Macaca fascicularis: one gene and its partner. The protein of the gene in region 1 binds, or shares a complex with, the protein of each later gene. Links are inferred from orthologs where the notes say so. Each region holds a gene or a part of one and is shown in the gene's direction. Other genes may lie near its edges. The genes, in order: VASP and PFN2.

Region 1 (3,803 bases):
AAAGAGCCTCCTGAGTAGCTGGGGTTACAGGCATGCGCCACCATGCCCAGCTATTTTTTTGTATTTTGTTTTTATTTTTATTTTTTTATTTTTTTGAGACAGAGTCTCGCTCTGTCGCCCAGGCTGGAGTGCAGTGGCGTGATCTCGCCTCACTGCAACCGCCGCCTCCCGGGTTCAAACGATTCACCTGCCCTAGCCTCCCGAATAGCTGGGACTACAGGCGTGAGCCACCACACCCGGGTAATTTTTTGTGTCCTTAGTAGAGACAGGGTTTCACCATGTTAGCCAGGATGGTTTCGATCTCTTGACCTCGTGATCCGCCCGCCTAGGCCTCCCAGAGTGTTGGGATTACAGGTGTGAGCCACCACGCCTGGCCTTTGTAATTTTAGTAGAGAAGGGGTTTCACCATATTGGCCAGGCTGGTTTTGAACTCCTGGCCTCAAGTGATCCACCTGCCTCTGCCTCCCAAAGTGCTGGGATTATAAGTGTGAGCCACCACGCCCAGCCACCTGGATCATTTCAAAATTGCTTTTTTACTTTTTGTGGAGATGGTCTACAGGCTGGTCTCAAACTCCTGGGCTCAAGTGATCCACTTCAGCTTCCTAAAGTGCTGGGATTGCAGGCATGAGCCACTACACCCAGTCCAGTTGCTTTTCTTTTTTTTTCTTCCTTTTTTTTTTTTTTTGATATGGAGTGTCTGTCTGTCTCAGGCTGGAGTGCAGTGGTGTGATCTCGGTTCACTGCAACCTCTGCCTCCTGGGTTTAAGCAATTCTGCCTCAGCCTCCCGAGTAGATGGAACTACAGGTGCATACCACCATGCCTGGCTAATTTTTGTAGTTTTAGTAGAGACGGGGTTTCGCCACGTTGGCCGGGCTGATCTCGAACTCCTGACCTCAGGTGATCCACTCGCCTTGGCCTCCCATAGTGCTGAGATTACAGGAGCAAGCCAGGCGCCCAGCCCAGTTGCTATTTCTTAAACCTTAACATGCACATGAATCACCTGGGGATATGGTTACAGTGCAGGCTCCGGTGCAAATGGGCTAGGGAGACTGAGACTCTGCATTCTCACAAGTGCCCTGGTGATACCGAGGCTGCTGGTCCGCGGATGTGACTGAGTAGCGAGGTTTTATGTCACTGCCATGCATCTGGCCTGGAATCACTGCTGTAGAACTGAAAGTCACCAAATGCAGCGGTGTTTGCTTTGTGGGGCAACTTCTGTGCTAGTGCGGAAGGGGTTTGCTCCTCTGGGGCACACAGAAAAATACAGTGCGCTTCAGTGTAGTCATCTGTAAAATGGGGCTAATTCATGTTAATTCATAGCCAATTCAATTCAGGTGGGTGCTGGGGCCAGCGGCCTGGAGGTAGGTGAGGAAGAAGCTCTTTACCTTTCCAGGTTCTTAGGTAAGGTCCAAGTGGCTGTGACAGTGGTTAAGAGCTGACCAGGGGCCAGGTGCAGTGGCTCACGCCTGTAATCCCAACACTTTGGGAGGCCGAGGCGAGTGGATCACTTGCGGTCAGGAGTTTGAGACCAGCCTAGCCAATATGGTGAAACCTCATCTCTACTAAAAATACAAAAATTAGCCAGGCATGGTGGCAGGTGCCTGTAATCCCAGCTACTCAGGAGGCTGAGGCAGGAGAATCTCTTGAACCCGGAAGGCGGAAGTTGCGGCGAGCTAAGATCACACCATTGCACTCCAGCCTGGGGGACAAGAGCGAGACTTCATCTCAAAAAAAAAAAAAAAAAAAAAACGAGCTGGCCAGGTGCTGTGGCTCATGTCTGTAATCCCAGAACTTTGAGAGGCCGAGGTGGTTGGATAGCTTGAGCTCAGGCGTTTGAGACCAGCCTGGGTAACATAGCAAAATCCCATCTGTACAAAAAAAAAATGATTAGCCAGGCGTGGTGAAATGTGCCCGTAGTCCCAGCTACTCGGGAGGCTGAGGTTGGAGGATCACCTGAGCCTGGGGAGACTGAGACTGTGGTTAGCCGTGATTGCGCCACTGCATTCCACAGCCTGGGTGACAGTGAGACTCTGTCTCGAAACAAACCAACAGTGGTTAAGAGCCTGGCTGCTGGAATCGGCCTGAATTCAAGTCTTGTTCCTGCACATTCCAACCTGGAGAACTTTGGGGCAAGTGACTGTCCCCTGGGCCTTAGCTTCTCCTGTCACTGGGACATCACAACAACACCTGCCTTAGGGCAACTCAGGCCAGGGAGGCTGGTGCTGCCTCACCTCCCAGGGTGTGTCCTCCTGGGCCTGGAGCCTCAGGGCCTCAGGAAGGAGGAAGTGAGTGCCCCTGGGCAGGATTCCTGGGAGGCCTGGAAGAGCAAGGGAAACGCCAAGGGCTGAGCAGAGTTCCGGGACTGACTTGTGGCCCTTTCTCTCTCACCTTCCAGGAGGTGGGCCCCCTCCACCCCCAGCACCTCCCACCTGGTCGGTCCCGAACGGTCCCTCCCCGGAGGAGGTGGAGCAGCAGAAAAGGTGGGGCTGGGCCCTGGGTGGGGAACCTTAGCCACGGCCAGTTCCATACGTTCTGGAACCCTTGACTCCTAGAGTTCAGAACCCAGCCAACTTGCAGTTTTCAGAATGTTCAAGAAATTTCTGACACTGAGAGTTGCAGAACCTCCTGGTCCCTGCAGATTCCTGGAAATCAGAATATGGTGGTTGAAAGAATCTCGTGGCTGGGCGTGGTGACTCACCCCTGTAATCCCAGCACTCTGGGAGGCTGAGGCGGGCAGATCACCTGAGGTCAGAAGTTTGAGACCAGCCTGGCCAACACGGTGAAATCCTGTCTCTACTGCAGATACAAAAATTAGCCGGGCATGGTGGCGCCCGTGCCTGTAATCCCAGCTTGGGAGGATGAAGCAGGAGAATCGCTTGAACCTGGGAGGCGGGGGTTGCAGTAAGCCAAGATCGAGCCACTGCACTCCAGCCTGGGTGACAGAGTGAGACTCTGTCTTTAAAAAAAAAAAAAAAAAAAAAAGAATCTTGGGCATTTTGTCATTCGGGTGTTCCTGACAGTTTAGTGACTGAGATCTTGCATTCAGATCTCTCCCTGTCACTGCCCTGCCCTCCATTCCCCCCACTCTCACCCACCCCCATTCTTGGTTCCCTAGGGGAGGAAGGCTTGGGTGAGGATTAGGAGCCAGCGTCCCTGGAGACCTCTGAGAGAGAGGATGGAGGTCGCTGGCCCCTTCCCTGGTCATCCTTAGGGCCCTGATTGACGGCAGCTCCCTCGCCTCCCCCTACAGGCAGCAGTCCGGCCCGTCGGAGCACCTAGAGCGCCGGGTCTCCAATGCAGGTGATGCTCAGATGGCTTCGGGAGTTGGGAGGGGGCCTCCCTGGAGGAAGAGGCCAGCTAGCTGGACAGTGAAGAACGAAGCTTCTCTTTCAGCTGCCCCCTTTTCTGTGTTTGTTTCAGGAGGCCCACCTGCTCCCCCAGCTGGGGGTCCACCCCCACCACCAGGACCTCCCCCTCCTCCAGGTCCCCCCCCACCCCCAGGTTTGCCCTCCTCGGGGGTCCCAGCTGCAGCACATGGAGCAGGGGGAGGACCACCCCCTGCACCCCCTCTCCCGGCAGCACAGGGTCCTGGTGGTGGGGGAGCTGGGGCCCCAGGCCTGGCCGCAGCTATTGCTGGAGCCAAACTCAGGAAAGTCAGCAAGGTGAGGGGCCAGGAGAGGTGGGAAGGGGCAACAGGGCTTTTATGGGGGATGAGGCCAGGGCTGCCGGCGGTGTCATAGGCCTGGAAGGCCAAAAGGCCTGCCCCTAAAGCTCCTGCCCCTTTTAAATTTCTCCAGCAGGA
Region 2 (4,367 bases), on another chromosome or scaffold:
GTTATAAACAAGAACAATTAAGTGTAATTAAATTAGGTGGGAGGCACACTTAGAGAAATGAAACAATTTTTGGCTCACATTTTACACCACACAGGTATTCTGTATCTTTAGAACATGAGAAAATACATATTCTCAGTCTGATAGGTCTCCGACTTGGGGGTTCTTTTACTGTACTTTTTTCTCTCTAGTAGCCGAACATTTTAAAGGAATCAGCAGAAAAAACATCAAACTTCAGAACCAATTAGACTTTTAAAAGCAACGTTCTTGCCCTTTCCAGAGATACATGCCTTAATCCTCCTACAAATCATGACCTTACACGGTAACTTTAAGGGTGAACATCAACTTATCTACATTTTGGCGCTTGCTTTCCCTAAGTGGCAGATGGTTTCTATTAACCTAAAATTGAAGTCCTTGTTGGGGGACCCCTAATTCCATGTCTAGTCCTAGTGCCCAGAGGCTACCAAAGACGATACGAATAGCTTCTCAGGCACTCCACCCACCATTTACCTTGTTAATGCAAATCTCGCCCAGACCTGGGTCCCGAAATTATTTTACCCTGCAGAACAGAAATGTTATGGTGTTCATTCAGTGAACTCGTCCCTAGTTTTTAATCTTTGTATTTTCTGCGTATACTTCGAGCCACCAGTAACTTTCCCAGTTACCAAGAAACAGTGTAACACAGGTCGCTATTTGTTTTGTTCGGAATTTACGAGCCATTTAAGCACACACGTGATTAGCAACACTAAGGGGGCTCTTCCAGGCAAAGAATCCACAGAATGAGAGGCCCTTGGTACCCAAATGAAGCAACAATGAAAGATCGGCGAAGCTCAGCAAGGTGCCTGAGCGCCACGGACGCCTGCTCTGATTTCAGGTTGCCGGCGCGCGCCCGCGGGTCTGCCTTTATGGGCGAGGCGCAAAAGGGCTCCAGGAAAGAGGGCGCCCTTAGGGGCTCGGAGATTAGCGTGGGCGACCCTGCCACCAGCCGCCCCCACCACAAAGAAGAGGAAACGCTCCGCATCCCGTCACCAGGGCAACTCTGCAACCCGACACCAAGGCTCAAGATTCCGCATCCCGGGCAGCGGACACAGAAGAAAAGCACATCGCGGCCCGGCCGCGGGGCTCCAAGGCGTCCCTGCGGCTGCTGTTCCTAGGGTGCCGAGAGCGACGCGGGGGCCACCCCTCTCCGCCGGCCCGGGGTCCGAAGATCGGCCATCCGCCGCAACGCCACCGCGCCCGGCCGGCGCCTGCCGCACGTGGCGGCCGTGATTGTCCCGGGGCGGTATCCCTCCGCGCCCCCGCCTCAGTCTCCCCCCGCCCTTCCCGGGACCCTCCGTGCCAGGGCGCCGCGGAAGGATCGCACGCACGCGCGCGCGCACGCCCCGCCGTATCCGCGGAGAACGGAGGGCGCTGCGGTAAGGAGCAGCCGCCGCCACCACCACCGGCACAGCCGCTCCGCAGCCTCCCGCCGCTGGTTAGTCAGCCCCGCGGCTGCGGGCGGCCGGGTGGCCGGGCGCGCTCTGAGGTTCGTCCCTCATCGCTGAACCCGCGTCCTCCCTCCGCGGCTCCTCGGGGAGGGGGGCGGTCGGTGCCTGCGCAGAGCCGCCTCCTCCCCGCCCCCGCCCCGCCTTCCCCCGCGCCGCCGCCGCCGCCGCCGCCCGCTACCGCCGCCGCCGCCGCCGCCGCGCCTGCTGCTCCTCGCCGTCCGCGCTGCAGTGCGAAGGGCTCGAAGATGGCCGGTTGGCAGAGCTACGTGGATAACCTGATGTGCGATGGCTGCTGCCAGGAGGCCGCCATTGTCGGCTACTGCGACGCCAAATACGTCTGGGCAGCCACGGCCGGGGGCGTCTTTCAGAGCATTACGGTGAGGACCAGTGGCGGCCGGGACCCTGGTCCCTGCACCGGAGTGGGGTTGGCGGGCCGCGGGGGCACCGCAGCGCGGGGCCGGAACACCGAGGGCCGAGCCCGCAGGTGTGCTAGGCAGCGGGCGCCGAGGATGCGGCTGCCGGGCAGGCTGGGAGGCCGAGGCCCGGAGACGCCCCCTCACCCGGGGCTGCGCTGACAAGCGGGGGCGGCGGCCAGACTCCTTGCTGGCCCTCGCCGGGCGTCCCCGGCGTTCCCAGCGTGGGTCCAGGTGCCCGGGTTGGGGGAGGGGGCACGCACCAGCCAGGGCAAGGGGAGGGTTTCCTTTTTTCCTGCTAGTGCGGTTCCCCTAGGTTCTCTTGAAGCCCTGAGGTTTGCTATGCACGTCCTGGGGTGGAAGCGGGGGTCGGGGATCCGGGCCGGGGAGCGCGGGCCCCGGGTAGAGGTCCCCAGGCTTCTTGGCCGCCTCTTGCTCGGCGGACAGCTAGCCGCCCGCGCCTCCGGCTGTGGGAGGCGGTGGCCCCGACCCGGCCCCCGGGATTCTCGAAGCGACTTTGCGTAGGTTTGCCGATGTCCAGGCCTCTGGGGCTTGCGAGAGATGTGCGCCGACCGCGTAGGTGGATTCGTGAATCTCGACTTCAGCTGTAGCTCTATAGGTTGTTTTTTTTTTTTTTTTTTTTTTTTTTTAATTCTCCAAGATGGCGAACTGCCATTGATTTCTCTCCTTCTCATATGGAGATTCATCGATATACGGTTATCCCCAGTTACGCAACATAGCTCAAAAAAGGGGTGCTTTTCGGGGGCTTTCAATTATCTGCGAAGACCAGGAGCACACTTCACTTCTCCAAGTCCCTCCCTCTTTAGTGGTGGCAGTAAAGGAACTAATGCAGTTTTATGCTTCACATTGCCTGATTTTCTTGAGACTTGATGGTTTTGAGTTGGTTGCAGTATGTTTGGGGAATATTTGCAAGTAAGCCTCCAGCTTATTGTTTTGCCTGTTTCTGCCCAAGGCTGTTTCTAAAATTATGATAATTGTATTAAATACGAGACCATTCCTTTAATTTCTTAGCACCACGCTCCCTTCCCATTAAACACCAAAATTCAGGTCCCCTATTATGGGTGCTAATTATTCTTTTGCCACTTAACGTGGTTTAAAGTCTGACTTTAGAACTCAGTCCTTGATGCTAGTACTTTAAGGTCTCGTATACCCGCAGTGGACTACAATTCTTGTAGGGAATTGGCATCTGGTCATCAACTTTTTTCCTGCAGTCCTCTTGTCTTTGTGTGTGAGTTCCCGCTGTCTGACGAGGAAGATTGCGGGAGTGTGCTTGGAAATGGCTGGGGCCTGCTATGACTCTGCAGTTCTGATGGGGGCGACGCCTTCCTTCTTATTCATGGAATGTTAGAATGCACGTTTTCTCCTTTCCGGTTCTGGTGGCTACCTCAGTTTCTTTCCCAATCTCCCTCCATTTTCTCTGTTTTACTATTGCCTACCGCAGTGCTGTAGACAGAATCCACTTTGCGTTTGCCCAGAAAGAAAACTGATTACTGAGATGGGAGGGGAAGGGAGGTTGGAAAGAAACAGGAGTCGTGGCTAGAAAAATAGGAGGGAAATATGAATTTGGAAAAGCACTGATGTTCGGGGATTGAAGTCCATATCATCAGGTATATTTCTAGTTATTCCAAGCAGAGAAGTGAACAAATCAAAGAACAGGCTTTATTTTGGGAGACTTTGAAGCAACTTTAAATGTGATGAAACATGATTTACTGTAATGGGACTGAATATGATAGACCAGCTGTGTTCAAAGAGTTGATAGCTGAATTTTTACCATTACGTGAACACTTTCAGGCACCAGCTGACTTAATACAGTTTATAAATAACTCTTTAAGTTTGCACTTTGTCTAGTGTCAACTATCAATTATTTAGAGTTTCTTTATATAGACTGGTCTTGGTTAAGAGACGACACCGTTAACTGAAATCAAATCAACTGATGTAAAAGATGTGATTATATAGAATTAAGTAATTATTAAGAAAAGACCGAATCTTGGTTTTACGTTAGTGAAATGTGGCTGTCTGGCATGGCACACAGCCTTTCCTGTTAACATCAAGCCCTAAAAGGAATTAACTACAACTTCATGTTTTTTTTTTTTTTTCTTTCTGGTGGGGGACAGCCAATAGAAATAGATATGATTGTAGGAAAAGACCGGGAAGGTTTCTTTACCAACGGTTTGACTCTTGGCGCGAAGAAATGCTCAGTGATCAGAGATAGTCTATACGTCGATGGTGACTGCACAATGGACATCCGGACAAAGAGTCAAGGTGGGGAGCCAACATACAATGTTGCTGTCGGCAGAGCTGGTAGAGGTAAGTAAGGCATTCTTTTGGTTAAAAGTTGCATGCCACGTTACAACTTATTAAGCAGTTTCTTTTAACATTTTGAATAAAAGTTAGTCCATAATGGCTATTAAGGTGGTTTTTGTGAACTGCCCAGCACTATGGAGAAGCA

The links.
Region 2: the proteins of VASP (region 1) and PFN2 are in contact, whole or in part, in a crystal structure (PDB 2V8C), measured with the Mus musculus proteins. The link is inferred for Macaca fascicularis from reciprocal best matches to the Homo sapiens genes VASP and PFN2. Residues at the interface, in NP_033525.2 of Mus musculus: Gly165, Pro166, Pro167, Pro168, Pro169, Pro170, Gly171, Pro172, Pro173, Pro174, Pro175, Pro176; in NP_062283.1 of Mus musculus: Gly3, Trp4, Ser6, Tyr7, Asn10, Cys13, Tyr30, Trp32, Met131, Tyr134, Ser138, Phe140.

The regions. Positions count from the first base shown.
Region 1 is NC_088393.1:53,581,955-53,585,757, forward strand, and holds part of VASP (vasodilator-stimulated phosphoprotein), read left to right. Parts: intron 1-2,396; coding exon 2,397-2,481; intron 2,482-3,251; coding exon 3,252-3,301; intron 3,302-3,421; coding exon 3,422-3,663; intron 3,664-3,798; coding exon 3,799-3,803. UniProt on the Homo sapiens protein: Ena/VASP proteins are actin-associated proteins involved in a range of processes dependent on cytoskeleton remodeling and cell polarity such as axon guidance, lamellipodial and filopodial dynamics, platelet activation and cell migration.
Region 2 is NC_088376.1:52,800,430-52,804,796, reverse strand, and holds the start of PFN2 (profilin-2), read left to right. Parts: upstream 1-1,392; 5' UTR 1,393-1,729; coding exon 1,730-1,861; intron 1,862-4,032; coding exon 4,033-4,225; intron 4,226-4,367. UniProt on the Homo sapiens protein: Binds to actin and affects the structure of the cytoskeleton. At high concentrations, profilin prevents the polymerization of actin, whereas it enhances it at low concentrations. By binding to PIP2, it inhibits the formation of IP3 and DG.